Arabidopsis thaliana: one gene and its partner. The protein of the gene in region 2 interacts with the protein of the main gene of each other region in a biochemical or structural test. Each region holds a gene or a part of one and is shown on either strand. Other genes may lie near its edges.

Evidence for each region.
Region 1: the proteins of KAT1 (region 2) and KAB1 form a complex in vitro, tested with the Arabidopsis thaliana proteins (one study listed by BioGRID).

What each region holds. Positions count from the first base shown.
Region 1 is NC_003070.9:1,310,205-1,317,595, forward strand, and holds KAB1 (potassium channel beta subunit 1), read left to right. Parts: upstream 1-3,238; 5' UTR 3,239-3,457; coding exon 3,458-3,825; intron 3,826-4,259; coding exon 4,260-4,455; intron 4,456-4,575; coding exon 4,576-4,719; intron 4,720-4,836; coding exon 4,837-5,001; intron 5,002-5,102; coding exon 5,103-5,216; 3' UTR 5,217-5,619; downstream 5,620-7,391. Other genes in the region: AT1G04700 (PB1 domain-containing protein tyrosine kinase), read left to right, coding at 6,715-7,391. UniProt on the Arabidopsis thaliana protein: Probable accessory potassium channel protein which modulates the activity of the pore-forming alpha subunit.
Region 2 is NC_003076.8:18,742,015-18,750,762, reverse strand, and holds KAT1 (1), read left to right. Parts: upstream 1-3,356; 5' UTR 3,357-4,201; coding exon 4,202-4,380; intron 4,381-4,535; coding exon 4,536-4,751; intron 4,752-4,835; coding exon 4,836-4,991; intron 4,992-5,086; coding exon 5,087-5,144; intron 5,145-5,298; coding exon 5,299-5,616; intron 5,617-5,772; coding exon 5,773-6,012; intron 6,013-6,094; coding exon 6,095-6,193; intron 6,194-6,268; coding exon 6,269-6,487; intron 6,488-6,562; coding exon 6,563-7,111; 3' UTR 7,112-7,253; downstream 7,254-8,748. Other genes in the region: AT5G46230 (hypothetical protein (Protein of unknown function, DUF538)), read left to right, coding at 7,739-8,170. UniProt on the Arabidopsis thaliana protein: Highly selective inward-rectifying potassium channel. This voltage-gated channel could mediate long-term potassium influx into guard cells leading to stomatal opening.

The DNA.
Region 1 (7,391 bases), on a different chromosome or scaffold from region 2:
TTTTTAATTATTATGTTTCCCAGTAATTAGTTAATTTCTGAATATATATATATATATATATATATATATACGCGTAAGAAAATATTGTCCTATATATTACATATATGATGTGTACCATGTGTGTGCATTATGGGGGAGGTTGGATTGGCGGGTAACTAGTAATAATTGAAACTTTTTTTGTTACACTTTTATTGCTCAAATTTACTTTTGTAAAAGTGCAAAAAGCTATAATAAAGAGAAGATCTTGTTGGTGCGAAATGTTTGGTTACGCCAAAACTCGCGGGTCAAATTGGTCCCAATCACTTCTTTTTTACTCATCGTTTTTTTCTCATTTTCCTCACGACCTCTCCTAAGTGAAAAACAGCAAGAACCCATTATTCGACTCTGTGACTAATTTTTGTCATTAACCATTAAACCGGGAAAGTCTAGCCATATAGTGTTTGTTTAATCAGCCAAAAATTACAAGTTCAGTAAAAGAGTGTGTCTTTCTTTGATGAATTGGACGATTACGCGAAAATATTAAATGAGCTAAACGATCAATCGTCGTTACCATTATTCCAGTTTACGACATATCTTTACTGCATGTAAATGTTTCAGTTGATTTCCTTGAATCAAACCTTGGAGACGACATCTTCATCATGATCCAGTGCCATAAATGTATATAAGTGTGATATATTTATGATTACATTTTGAGGTATGTATATAAATAGATATATAGTGGATAATTCGAAGTATTTGTATTTGTCGCTGGTTACTATATTAGCTGAGGCACCGACACTCCCAAACGTTACAAAAATATCGAATAGTTGGAACTTGGATCCTATCGACATTGTACGTCGTCGTTTTGTGCTACGAAGAGACGTGGTTTTGTTTTTAGTTTAGTTATGTGTTGTTTTTGTCTTTGTTATATAAAACTAAATGACAAAATTTGCACACAAGAAAGAAACCAAAAGATTTTAGATCCTCTCGATCGGACGTACGCTAGAAGGTTCTTCCGTAATTTTCATATAAATGATCTTTATCGTGTCATTGCAACGTTAAATTCGATTGAGACGTGTCAAATTAATTTCTTCTAACTATGCGGTGTCATTATATTACGAATTAGCAAAAAAAGATGAAAAATGCATGTGAGATCTACCTAAGATACTGTTCTAAAATATATACGGTTTTCTTGCGCGATTAGAGATCAACATACGATTAGAGATCGGCGATTAAAGATTTGCTGGAAAATGACTCATATATATTTCCCAATCCTCGCAGATAAAATAAAACGGCACTTTACCGTTTTCTTTAGAAGTTAGTCGAAGACAAGTATTCTAAAAATTCAACAAAAACAAGAAACGAAAAGTAAACTACAAAATGTTAGAAAAGACTCACATGAAACACTCACTGTGCCTCTCTAATCAAATGGAAAAAAGTGGAGAGTTTAAACTTATAAGTATAGTATAGATGATAGAAATCTTCTAAAAACGATACCCGTGAACTAAGTTGATCCTGTGATCTTCATAATCCATACAATTTCAACAGAAAAATACTTTTTTGTGTTTTAAAAAATACTGCGAAAAGCTATATAAATAGTAAGATAAATTGGTTTAAATCCAAAGGTATGATAAAATTCTTTCTCAAAAACGTCATATTTGGTTAGTAGTACTCTTAATCGAGTGGTTCATCAAAATGTATCGGTTTATATATATCAGATCTTGAATAATTTGCAAAAACTCAAAATTTCTTACAACTAATAGCAATATATCATGTATCATATAGCTAGGTAAAAGTAAAATCATACGTTTTAAAAAAACTGTGGTAGGGAATTATATATGAAGCCGTTTATAATAGCATGCATGTGCTTAACATAGCAAAAAACCATATGATTAGTATCGGGGTACATGAAAGAAAAGGGCAGATAAAGCTAGATTAGGATTTGATAACGTACGAGAAAAAATCGAGAAAAAATGTCAACCCTTGGTGGGAGATTTAGGCGAATTTTCTAATCTATCTTCCTCTTATTTTTTTCTTGGTGGCCAATAAAACTAGAGTTTTTAGAGGGTAACGAATCCAAACCCCACACTCACATGCATCGAATCCAATCTGTTTCTCCAACCCATTCATTACCAAAACAGCAGATAAATTTTATAATTCATCAAGTCTACCAATATTAATTATCTTCTCATAATCATAAACTTGGTTCTCTTTATCCAATATTATCTTCTCATAATCATAAACTTGATTCTCAAACATTATTACTAAATCTATTTTTCTTTTCCCCTTCTAATATTCTTTACTTTAACAATACAAATACAACTCCTTTTAAGACTTTTTTTTATAGTAAAGAGTTATACATAACATGTTTGGTAACATAGTAAAATAGCTAATATAATAGACCTTTTCTAAAAATTGTCAAAATACAATAAGTGTAATTGGTGGATAACATGTCTACTTTAAAAAACTTTTTAGAGTATTAAAATTGTCGTCCCATAAACTATATAAATGATCATCATAAATGTATTACAATAACAGCATATCAAGACTTGACGGTTATCAGCCAAAATCATTAAATTTTGGAATTAGATGTTAATAATATACAAGTGTCATGTCGATCTCTTGTTTACATATCCAAACATCTCTATGTGTGACGTGAGTTACTACTTACTAGAATATGGAGTAAGATAATATGGGCTTCCTAAAAGGCCTATACAGAAACAAAGCCCAACAACCTAAAACCCAGTGTGAACGTGAAGGACTTGAAATATTCCAAAGTTGAGTGACTGATGAAACCTTTCACGTGACAGTGACTTGATTTTATTCGTATACGGGCAAAGTTCTTCCATTACTGCAAAAACTCTTCTATTAATGACCAACTTTTCATAAAAGAAAGTACACGTGTCTGTCATTAGATTGGTAGGTACATGGAGACTACACTAAAGTCATTCACATGGGATTCTTTGACCCATTAGGAGCCAAATAAAAATCTTCTCTTTTTAGTCTTTTTTTTCCATCTTAATTAAAATTACGAGATCACGCTTTCTTTTTTAGTACGAGGGATCAGCATCTTAATTAGATCACGAATTAAAATCACATATTTTATACAAATTGCGACTTAACCGGAATACCTTTAGACCGGATAAATTCTTACCAACAACCAATATCTGGAGGTTCAATATGGTTTGGTACCTAATTTTGTACCGGAAATTGCAGAAATCATCGTATTCGAGTGTTGGATTTGCTATGATATTACATTCAAAATTTTGGTACATATTGGTTGATCATGAAAACCGGAAAAGTAAAACCAAACCGGTAGCTTACCGTATTTTGCTAAGTGTTGTCACTTATTAAGATTGGTAATAGAGTACTTATTGTCTGTTCTTCTTCATTCATTACAACAAACTCTTTGAGACCTAAAGAGAGAGAGAGCGATAGTGAGATTTAGATCAACAGATTTGAATCGATTTCTGAAAACATGCAGTACAAGAATCTGGGGAAATCGGGTTTAAAAGTGAGCACGCTCTCGTTCGGAGCGTGGGTTACGTTCGGGAACCAGCTCGATGTGAAAGAAGCGAAATCGATTCTTCAGTGTTGTCGTGATCATGGAGTCAATTTCTTCGATAACGCTGAGGTTTACGCTAATGGTCGCGCTGAGGAGATTATGGGTCAAGCGATTCGTGAACTGGGTTGGCGTCGATCCGATATCGTCATCTCTACCAAGATCTTCTGGGGTGGTCCTGGTCCTAACGATAAGGGTTTATCTAGGAAACATATCGTTGAAGGCACTAAAGCTTCTCTCAAACGACTTGATATGGATTACGTTGATGTGCTCTATTGCCACAGGTGACCAATTTCAGATTTGTTTTTTTATTTAGTGATTTTATTTTTTTTCACTTGGTTCTTTGAAGATCTAGGGTTTTGATATGATCTGATTTGAGTGTAAGGTTTATCTGAATATTTCTGGTGTACTATGTTGTCTGCGCATTTAATTTTCTTACATGTGCTTGCCTTTAGTACAAATTGCTGTTTTTGAATTTATAAAATTTACAATTTGAATCCACTTATGATGTAGCTTAGTGCTGTATAGTGTGGATCTATTTGGTTTCCACTTTTATTTCATATCTGATAATTGGGATCTGCATTTTGCCATACATTGCACAAGATATTTTGGAAAAGTGGCATCTTTGCATTGATCTAAGTGTCACTAGATTCTTTGATTGACATATGTTTATTAAAAATGTTTCCTTTTTTTGTGTGAATTGGGTCATTTATTACAGGCCGGATGCTTCAACTCCTATCGAAGAGACTGTGAGGGCGATGAACTACGTGATTGATAAGGGTTGGGCCTTCTATTGGGGAACCAGTGAATGGTCAGCTCAACAAATTACGGAGGCATGGGGAGCTGCTGACCGGTTGGATTTGGTTGGTCCAATTGTCGAACAGCCAGAATACAACATGTTCGCTAGGCACAAAGTTTGTAATCTGACTCTCTTTTTCTTTAATTTACTTTCATGTTTGCGTCTTATCTTGTACAGTCTTAAGTTGTTGTAGTCTCGTGTTATGTAGCTCAAGTTATGCTCTTCTGTTATGTAGGTTGAGACAGAGTTTCTTCCTCTGTACACCAACCATGGTATAGGTCTCACTACCTGGAGCCCACTTGCATCTGGTGTGCTCACTGGTAAATACAACAAGGGAGCTATTCCCTCAGACAGCCGATTTGCATTGGAGAACTACAAAGTATTCCTTTTTTTTCCTTTTTCTTGTGTATTCTTGGTCATATTTGCTAAGACCTCAATCTGCTTCTGCATCTAACTAATACACTGGTACATGTCTTGGTTTTAATTTCTTTCGCAGAACCTTGCCAATAGATCACTTGTGGATGACGTGCTGAGGAAAGTTAGCGGTCTCAAACCCATTGCAGATGAGCTAGGTGTAACCTTGGCTCAGCTTGCAATCGCATGGTGTGCTTCAAATCCTAATGTGTCATCTGTTATCACTGGTGCCACAAGGGAGTCACAGGTTAGTTCTTGATCGCTTATAAAGCATTAACATAGCGAGTCTCGGTCTAGATTTGGATCCAAGATCTGAAAGATTTTGTTTCTTTTTTTGTACCTTGACAGATTCAAGAAAATATGAAAGCTGTTGATGTGATCCCATTGTTGACCCCTATTGTTCTGGACAAGATTGAGCAAGTGATACAGAGCAAACCAAAACGTCCTGAATCATATAGGTAAAACCAACATCCAAGATCTCTCTTCCCTATTCAATCGTTTACAAAAGAGTGTTGCAGGAAAAAGAAAACATTAGAAGAAGCTCTGTGATGTATGTTGTTGGATGTTGTCTCGTTTTCGCTTTGTTTGTTCTCTTTAGCAGCTTATGCATTTTTAAGACTCAGACAGAGAGAAAGAGAGACTAATGTTTTTTTTTAGTTTTTCTTGTTTCATCATTTAAAAAACGGTCTTATTTGTTACTTGTTAGTGCAACTTAAAGTTTGGTTCTTGTAGTTTGCCATGTCATGACGTCAATATATTGAATAGCTCATCAAACAATTCTGGTTATATCTTAATGTTGTGAAGATTTTAATTTAGTGCAAGGGGGTTGATATGTTATTAATAAAGATTTAATGGAGGTATTTAAAGCTCAACGTGCACAACATAATGTCTCAACTATATACCATGTTTTTAAAAACATACATGCATAGACATCCTACACAATCTTTTTAGGTAAGATCCCAATAAAAATCTAAATTTGGATGATCTGTTTTATTTGGTTAACAAAACTAAGAGATGAGTAAAGAAAATAAAAGAGTTTCTGGAATTGGCTAAAAAAAGAAAGAAATAGATAAAAACGTTCCCTCAAAAACCTCCACATGCAATTTATGAATTTACTATTTGAAAAAAATAAAAATAAGATAAGACAAAATTATTAATAGATTGAAGATGATTTCACCCATGATTCAAGTGCAACGAATAAAATCAAAAATAATTTCAAGAATAAGAAATAAAAAGAGAGAATTTCGAGAGAGAAAGGTTTAGTTTTTATTTTGTTTGGAGTTTGTCACCCACCCGCGTTATTTTGAGAGCGCTTCTCTGCGTCTCTCTTCTCTCTCTCTCTCTCGCAAATCAAAAACCTCAACTTTTGAAAAACTTCAATCTCTAGAAACATTCTTCTCTTTTACCCAAAAATCTCATCTTTTGTTTGTTTGTTATTCTTCTCCTTCATTGTTAATCTCATTGGCCATTTTTCCCTAGGTAATCAAATTCATCTAAAGCTCCAATTTTTCAATTCGATTACACCACATTCGGTGTCATCAATGATCTCGTTGCTTATATATGTATATACAATTGATTTGTGTGATCAACATTTGCAGAAAAAATTGATTTTGAAATTTGTTTCTCGTTGTTGTTGTTGTTGTTGTTATGCAGGGTAATTTCTGGTCTAATTCGTTTGAATGAGACTCTGGTCTTTGTTTGATTTGGTATGATCTTGTAGCAATATACCCTGAAGATGTTTGTTGGAGGTTTGCTGATAGACAAAATTGCTTGTGGCTTGTGAATCTCCATTACCTGTTCGCTGTATTTCCTCAAAGAGCGTAAGAGAATCCTGTATTTTCCTCTCAACATTTTTTGTTTTGAAATTTGGGGAGTTGAAGAACAGAAATTGGTTACTCAGAATCTGTGATACAAGAGATTGTGCAGAAGAAAGAATAAAGCGTTTTTGGTTCTTGAGAACATGAGAATGGAGTTTCCTGGCAGCTCCAATCAGCATTTAGGTAGGGATAGGTTCAATGGAGAAGTTGGTTGCGGTAATAACTGTTCTCAGACAGGAGAGGAATTTTCAAATGAGTTTTTGAGGGATTTTGGTGCTCAACGAAGACTACAACATGGTGGTGTTAACAGAAATGTTGAGGGTAATTATAATAATCGCCATCTTGTTTACGAGGATTTCAACAGAATTCTTGGCCTTCAAAGAGTTGATTCCAACATGTCAGAAGGTATTAATTCCTCGAATGGTTACTTTGCTGAGTCAAATGTTGCAGACTCACCTCGGAAGATGTTTCAAACTGCAATATCAGATGTTTATTTGCCTGAAGTATTGAAGCTTCTTTGTAGCTTCGGGGGAAGGATCTTACAGCGGCCTGGTGATGGCAAGCTTAGATACATTGGAGGGGAGACTCGGATTATCTCAATACGCAAACATGTTGGATTAAACGAATTGATGCACAAGACTTATGCTTTGTGCAACCATCCGCATACAATCAAGTATCAATTACCAGGAGAAGATCTTGATGCCCTTATATCGGTTTGCTCAGATGAGGATCTTCTTCATATGATTGAAGAGTATCAAGAAGCTGAAACAAAGGCTGGATCCCAGAGGATTAGGGTCTTTCTTGTACCTTCCACAGAATC
Region 2 (8,748 bases):
ATTAATACATTATTTTGTAACTAACAATTTTCTATGTATAAACTCTACAATTCTTCATCAATAACTGATAAAAGCTATACTAAACCCCTAAAAATGTACAGTATATTTTTGAAATTTGATTATTAGGAACAGAGAGGAGTATTTTTCGAATATTTAAAAAGTGATGGTACCATATATTTCTAAATAAATGCTATTTTAGTTCTTTTGTCGGAAGGAAATGAAAGCACCTAATTATGGGGAACAAAATTAAAGAGCAAACTAACAGAACTTTATGTTCGTGTGGTTCCAAGGAAAAGAGAGATTGGAAAGGCTTAAACCGTTCTTAATTCACAGAATCACAGGCTATATATACCTACCCAACAAAAAACAAAATATTAGTGATCGATTTAATTTTTGCTTTACAACAAAAAGTTTCCCACGTTGTAGGACAATCACGAGGATCCTCCTTACGATTTTGACCCTACTCGTCATTAACTACATGAACCTAATTGCGTTAGACACACACACATCCTACAAACGTTATAATTCATCACATGTTTCAAAACCTAAGTTTATAGGCCAAACTGTAAATGACATGCTTGATTGAAGAGATAATTGCTAAATTTATTGGGAAAATCTTAATATTCTTTTTGCTATATAAATATTATTTCTTGATTTTGTACAACTCTTAGGTAATTTAGGTATCAAATGGTACATTGCGAAAACAGTAAGAAGCCTGCAAGTTTTACCCAATAAGAAATGGAAGGACCCATATATCAAGCCTAACTTTTAATGTAGACGACAAAAACAAATCTCATATAAATCATGCCGACATTACACAAACAAAATCACTTATGCAGTGTCTATGACTCGTTTATCATGTTGTTCTTGTACCGTTGATATTGTGGAAAATTATCTTGTTTTTATTTGTGTTAAATCAGATCTTTCTCCTCTTAGTAGCATGAGAAAGAGGATCAACCCGGGACGATATTCCATCCATAACGACTATAATTACAGTTAATGTTAAACTGTTTTTATTTATAAGACACAATTATAATACATCCATTAAGATTTTTAAAGTTTTCATAACAAAAAAAATAAAAAATATAATAATTAGACGCATTTTGATAATAGAAAAACTCTAAATTTTCAATAAAAGTCTCAACTGCCTTTACAGTCTAATATGATCATGAGAAGGGTTAAGAATAGAATAGTTGACTTTTAACTTAATGGAAGATTTACTGGAAAATGTCTCTATCTGTTATCTAGTATTGGACCCGTTAATAATGTGCAACGTATAATGTAGGGTACTAAATCCCAAGAAAAATCTAGATTTTCTAGATAACATATTTAACCAGAAAAGAAAAAAAATTGTAGTGGAATAGACCAGCATGGTTCAATCTGGTCGTTACTAAAACTACCAATCCAAAACCTACCAACTATAATACAATATGACTACAAATACGGTTTTGAAGATTAATTCGCGGCTAACCATCAAAAAATAATGTTTGACGATGGCTCATGGTTCCACTCGCCAACCATATACAGTTTATATTCTCTTTTGAGACCTCAAAATCAAGTTACTAGAACTCGATGATCTTACATGAATATAAAATGAAAATCAGCTCCAATGTAGTTTGAAGAAGGTATAAAACAGGTTTAGACCAACCGATTCCAAGACTTATGATGGCCCACAACAACAAAAATAACTAACAAATTTTTAGACCCTACACTACTCTTAGCATGCATGTGACAGCTTAAACTTAAATTTAAACAGTTAACATGAACAACCCCACTTGCACTAGGAAGACAGCAAATAGCAAACTTAAAGCAGTTTACGATTTCTGGTCTTTTAAGGCAAGGTTTAGTAACCCAGTAATTCCTTTTGATTTGAAATATATGAATAACCGAAATTAAAAAACAAAAAAAAAATCACAAAATACTAAAATTTGAAAGCCGAAATAATTCATTTTTCAATAGTTATAATCATCTTTTAAAAAGTAAGTTAGATCATAAAACCTAATATAAAACTTTTATTGGCAAAACTAATTAATCACGAGAAAATAATATTAAAGTTAGCTCATGTTATGTTTATATTAGGAATCTCTCATTTACTTTATTTTGTTTTGTTTTGTTTCTATAATGATATTAGGATTCAGGAAGACAATAAACAAAATATCAACAAGGAATCATGAAAGATACATTCGAACGGGCTCAGATCGACGCAGAAACAAAAAGCTTTGGAATGATTTAATAATACAAATTTGGCGGAAAGGTTTGAAGAATTTATACTTGGCATTCTATACTAGCGAACGAAAACAAAAGTTTAGTCAAATATTTAGGATTACCAAAAAATCAATATTCGTATACAAATGTGTTTTATTATAAACCATGATTTTTCATAACTTTATTCTTAGTTGTTTCAATTTGTTTTCTCTCATTTCTCGTTCCTATTGTAGAAAAAATTCCTGATTCTTTTTTCTTTTCTTTTGTTTTCCCATGTCAATTATAACCGCATTAGAAAAGGTTAGCACATGTTCATTTGCACAGAATGTAGTCAATGTACAATTCATCTATAATTTATCACCTTTTTGTTAAAAATATTTATAGCCATGTTATATATATTTTATCATGTTGTGTTTTAAACTCTAGATTTGTTCTTTCACAGTTTATGGGATTTATCATTTCATATATTTCCTCCTATGAGTAAGATGTCATTTTTAAATTCTTAATTAAGAATTTAGAAATCAAGTTTATTATTTTGTTAAAATTTATAAATTACGTATTTTTCCTTTATTAGTGAGATTAAGATATAAAGAGTCTAGCACACTAGAGAAATGAAAACATACATATATCTAGAAAGGGTTTATAAGAAATTAGTAAATGGAATCAGAACATGAAGGAGAAGGGAGGGGCCACCATACCGACGGGAATGAGAAGTATGGGACGGACAAGAAATCAAGTGTACACACATGAAAAAACCCACCACGTGAAGATCTCCTATTGGTGTGTCTTCTCCTAAGTACTAAGTATAAACCAAAGTCAAAACACAACAAAGACATATTGCTTGCGAGCCAGCGAGTGTGTCCGAGTGAGAAGAGAGTTTGGGACTTCACTGTTTAGAGAGCCTCATTCGCTACCTAGATTCGGTTTATCCACGTGGAGAGTTCACGTAGCTTCTATAATAATAATACATTATATAAGCTGTTTCGGTAAAATAATCTTAGAGTTTCACTTCCCATGCAAAAAGATTAAATGGACTACTATATTTTCTATATGAGTGTTTTGGAAATAATCTTCCAAGTTTATGGCTATTTAGTAAAACTCAATCCAAAATGAGAACAATAACTTTTTTTTTTTTTTTTTTGCAATGAGTACAATAAACTTATGATTGGTTTTGGGGACTAGAAAATAAAATAGAGACATATACTTTAAGAATAGTTGATGAGAAAATAAAACTTTTTTCGAAGAAAGAAAAAAAAATATACTCTGGCCCCTTACATATTCTGTCAAATGCCATTTTATTTTCTTTATTTTGCTTGGTCCATTTCTGGATTCCTGAAATGAACACACCATAATTTTCATGCCCATTTTTGTCCTCCCATTAACACTTACCAAACACCAAACGTACCTTCCTTCCTTTATATGTGTCTCTATGTCTATATATCACTCCCACCTTCAAATGCTAGGAAAGTGGACATCACACCATAGTCTGATAGTCATGAATCTCATCAAGTAGAAACCTCCAAAGAAACAGATTGCGTTTCCTCTTCTTCTTCCTCCTCTTTCGAATCTTATATTTTCGTGTCAAAAAAGAAACAAAATATGATGATATCTACCGCAAAAGCTCAATGTTTGCCACTTAAATTCTGTCTCATCTCTCAAGATTTTTGATCATCTCACACTTACTCCGTTCCGCATTTTACGCCTTTTCTTCACCATTGTTGCTTCTCGAATCGAAACCATATTGGTTTTGCAGCATTAATGGTGCACTGAGTCTTCTTAAAGCCGTTAACCTTTCCCTGCCAAATTCTCAACCAAAAAGAAAAAAAGATAACAAATGGGTCACAACAAGTTGCCATAAAGGTCCCAACAGAAGAAGAAAAGAGAAGTTTCCCCGTGTTGCTTTGTCACAAGCTTCATCACTATTTATAACTACCTTGCCAAGAAGAAAGCCTAAAAAGGTATAACAGTTTCTTTGTCTTTAGAGATCATCAAAAAGATGTCGATCTCTTGGACTCGAAATTTCTTCGAAAGATTCTGCGTCGAGGAATACAATATAGACACCATAAAACAGAGTAGTTTCCTCTCTGCCGATCTTCTACCATCTCTTGGAGCCAGGATCAACCAATCTACTAAGCTCCGCAAACACATAATCTCTCCTTTTAATCCACGTTACAGGTAATTTTCTCATCTACTAAACTCTGTTTTAAGTACTCTGTTTTCAACTATGTTTTCAACTATTCAGGTTATAAGTAGTTTTAACTACTCTGTTTTTACTCACGTTATAAGTATATTTAAAGACTCTGTTTTCAATCCTCTGTTTGTTGAAACAGAGCGTGGGAGATGTGGCTAGTATTACTAGTTATTTACTCAGCTTGGATTTGCCCATTTCAATTTGCTTTCATCACCTATAAAAAAGACGCGATTTTCATCATCGACAACATTGTTAATGGCTTCTTCGCCATTGATATTATTCTCACCTTCTTCGTCGCTTATCTCGATAGCCACTCCTATCTTCTAGTTGACAGTCCTAAGAAAATAGCAATAAGGTGAGAAACCTTTTTTCTTAACTTGAAACCTTTTATAAGTGAATGAGAATCTCAAAGTATGTTTTGAAATTGTAACATTTTCAGGTACCTTTCGACGTGGTTCGCTTTCGATGTTTGTTCCACAGCACCATTTCAGCCACTAAGCCTCTTGTTTAACTACAACGGAAGCGAACTAGGATTCAGAATTCTTAGCATGCTCAGGTTATGGCGTCTCCGGCGAGTTAGCTCGCTATTTGCAAGGTTTGCTTCTATGCTAACTAAGAGACCATACTCTTCTTAGGGTTTAACTAAGAAAGTGCTTACTCAAGTCTAACTAACTCTTACCTTTGCTTCAGGCTTGAGAAAGATATCCGTTTCAACTATTTCTGGATACGTTGCACAAAACTCATTTCGGTTAGTTCCAAAACAGAGCAAAACTAATCTCACTTATAATAAAGCATTTTAAGCTTAGGGCTGTCCATTTAGGTGATCTATTCTTAGGGTTTATTTGTCTTTTAAATGGACACCATATTAAAGCTAGTGACTTACACGTGCTTGTTGATCTCAGGTCACTTTGTTCGCTATACATTGTGCTGGATGTTTCAACTACCTGATTGCAGATAGATATCCTAATCCAAGAAAGACATGGATTGGAGCTGTGTATCCAAATTTCAAAGAAGCAAGTCTATGGAATAGATATGTGACTGCTCTTTACTGGTCCATTACGACATTAACGACCACGGGATATGGAGATTTTCATGCTGAGAACCCAAGAGAAATGCTTTTTGACATTTTCTTCATGATGTTCAACCTCGGTTTGACAGCTTACCTCATTGGAAATATGACCAACCTCGTCGTTCATTGGACTAGCCGAACCAGAACCTTTGTAAGTTTGATCACTTTCTTTTAGTCTAGGCATGTTCATTTCGGATAAAGGTTCGGGTAATAGCGTGGGGTTTACGTACTTTTGAGTATTTTAAGTTGACTAAAATAATATTGAGTATTACTAATCTGTAATGCTTTATTGCTTTGTGTTAAACAGAGGGATTCAGTGAGAGCTGCTTCAGAGTTTGCTTCAAGAAATCAACTCCCACATGACATACAAGATCAAATGTTATCACACATTTGCTTAAAGTTCAAAACAGAGGGCTTGAAACAACAAGAGACCTTGAACAATCTGCCAAAAGCAATCCGGTCAAGCATTGCAAACTATTTATTCTTCCCCATTGTTCACAACATTTACCTCTTTCAAGGAGTTTCTCGTAACTTCCTCTTTCAATTGGTAAAATTGTATTCTCTAACCTTTTTTCTTAACGTTTAATATGTAAGAGGTGACCAACTCCATGTACCTTTTCATGTTCAAGGTTTCAGATATAGACGCTGAGTATTTCCCACCAAAAGAAGATATAATTCTACAAAACGAAGCTCCTACTGATCTTTACATTCTGGTGTCAGGAGCAGTGGTGAGTGAAATATATCGGTTATATGTAAATATGTGAATAACAGTTAGGAATCTTGTAACATTGTGTATTGTACAGGACTTCACTGTCTACGTTGATGGACATGATCAGTTTCAAGGGAAAGCAGTAATTGGAGAAACATTTGGAGAGGTTGGAGTTTTATACTATAGACCACAACCATTCACAGTAAGAACAACCGAGCTATCTCAAATACTGCGGATAAGCAGAACATCGCTGATGAGTGCGATGCATGCTCATGCTGACGATGGACGAGTCATCATGAACAATCTCTTCATGGTATGTGAGTTATTATAGAAATGTTTCTATAGTTAAAACAAACTCTAAACTCATTTTTGGCTATAAAACTTTCAGAAACTTAGAGGGCAACAGTCAATAGCAATAGATGATTCGAATACTAGTGGTCACGAAAACAGAGATTTCAAAAGCATGGGATGGGAAGAGTGGAGAGATTCAAGAAAAGATGGCTATGGTTTAGATGTTACGAATCCGACTTCCGACACTGCTCTAATGGATGCGATTCACAAGGAAGATACTGAAATGGTTAAGAAGATACTTAAGGAACAAAAGATAGAGAGAGCCAAAGTGGAAAGATCAAGTAGTGAAACCGCTGGAAGAAGTTACGCTAACGATTCATCGAAAAAAGATCCATATTGCAGCTCAAGCAACCAAATCATCAAGCCATGCAAACGAGAAGAAAAGAGAGTTACCATCCACATGATGTCTGAGAGCAAGAACGGGAAGTTGATACTCTTACCATCATCCATAGAAGAGCTTCTAAGACTTGCAAGTGAGAAGTTTGGAGGCTGCAACTTCACAAAGATCACCAATGCGGACAACGCTGAGATTGATGATTTAGATGTCATTTGGGATGGTGATCATTTGTATTTTTCATCAAATTGAGTTTGAAAACTCGACTTCATTTATAGAGCATGTATATCTGCAGATAATGTATTTTTACCCGGTTTCATAGAAAAGTCTAGATTATCAAAAGCAGAGTATACAAAACTGACATTAATTGACACAAAAACACAATCTTATTTCACAGCTTGACTATGATACATTGATACCGTTCTGTTTGAACACAAAACATTATTCTACACGAGTCTTCTGCTTTGAACTTGTTTCACATGATAAATCAAGAAAATTTTATTTTTCTCTATTATCAATAAAGATTTTAAGAAATTTACCTATTAAAAAGACGAAATTTTTTTTTCAGAAAATTAAGCGTATATTCAGTTTGATTTATTTTAAATTTAAACACTTCAACATGTTTGTAATAAAAAAAAATCAAAATAAGAAATTCTCGAATGTATTTTATATTCAATCAACGAATAAAATAAATTATTCCACGAACATGAACTGCATGCGTCCCACCTCATTTTATACGAAATTTCCATGTTACCCTCTCTAATACTATTCTCCTTCCTCTTCCACAGACCCAATTTCGTCATTCAATTCCAAAACTCACACCTCTATATAAATCCAGCAAAAAGTCCCCAAAAAGTCACCACCACAAATCTCATCGAAATGTCGTCTCAAGAAACGAAATCAGATCAAAGAGAAGGAGCAGAGATCTGCAATGGCGAATCAAACTGCAAACAGAAAGCCAAAGAGATTTTATCAACCATGAATCTACCCAAAGGTCTTCTTCCTCTAGACAACATGACAGAGATCGGTCACAACAAATCAACCGGTTATGTCTGGATCAAGATCAAGAACAAGGTTCAACATCGGTTTAAAGCCATTGGACGAAACGTATCTTACGATTCGGAGGTTACTGCGATCCTTGAGAATCGTCGGATGAGTCAGCTCACGGGAATCAAGAGCAAAGAGATTTTGATTTGGGTTACGATCTCTGAGATCTTTGTTAATCATCAAGATCCGACTCAAATCACTTTTGCTAATCCTACGGGACTATCACGTACTTTCCCCGTCACTGCTTTTGAAGAAGACGAATGATTCATTTGTCAACGCTCACCATCATGATACTTTGCTTAGCTAAATTATCTTTTGTTTTTTCCTTATAATTCCTTTTGTTTAGCTAAGTTCTATTTTCAACATTTGTATTTCTGCATCTTTTCCATTAGAGATTTTATAAAAATAATAATATAGAAAGACAAAATGTATAATTAAAAAACAAACAAATTCCTTTGGAAAATCTGAGATAGTGGTGATGCATGTTTGCTACAACTTATAAACCAAAAATAGTAAGAAAATGAGAAGATTAAATATAATTCTCGTGTTTTTGGTTCGAAATATTATAATAGAATGAGTTTGATGTAAATATAAAACCGGTTGGTTCGGTTCAAATAACACTGGTGATGGTCTACGCGTGTTAGTGTGTCGCACTCACAAGTCACAACGTTAGATATTGAATAAAATTTTCCACATATCTACAAAAATCAAATTTTATAGTTAAATTTTTTTCCAGTTATGCTGATTAGATATCACACATGATTATGTACATACATTGATAGTTTGATACACACAACTTGGTTAACCTATCAATGAAATTATATTGACCGATTGATACATAT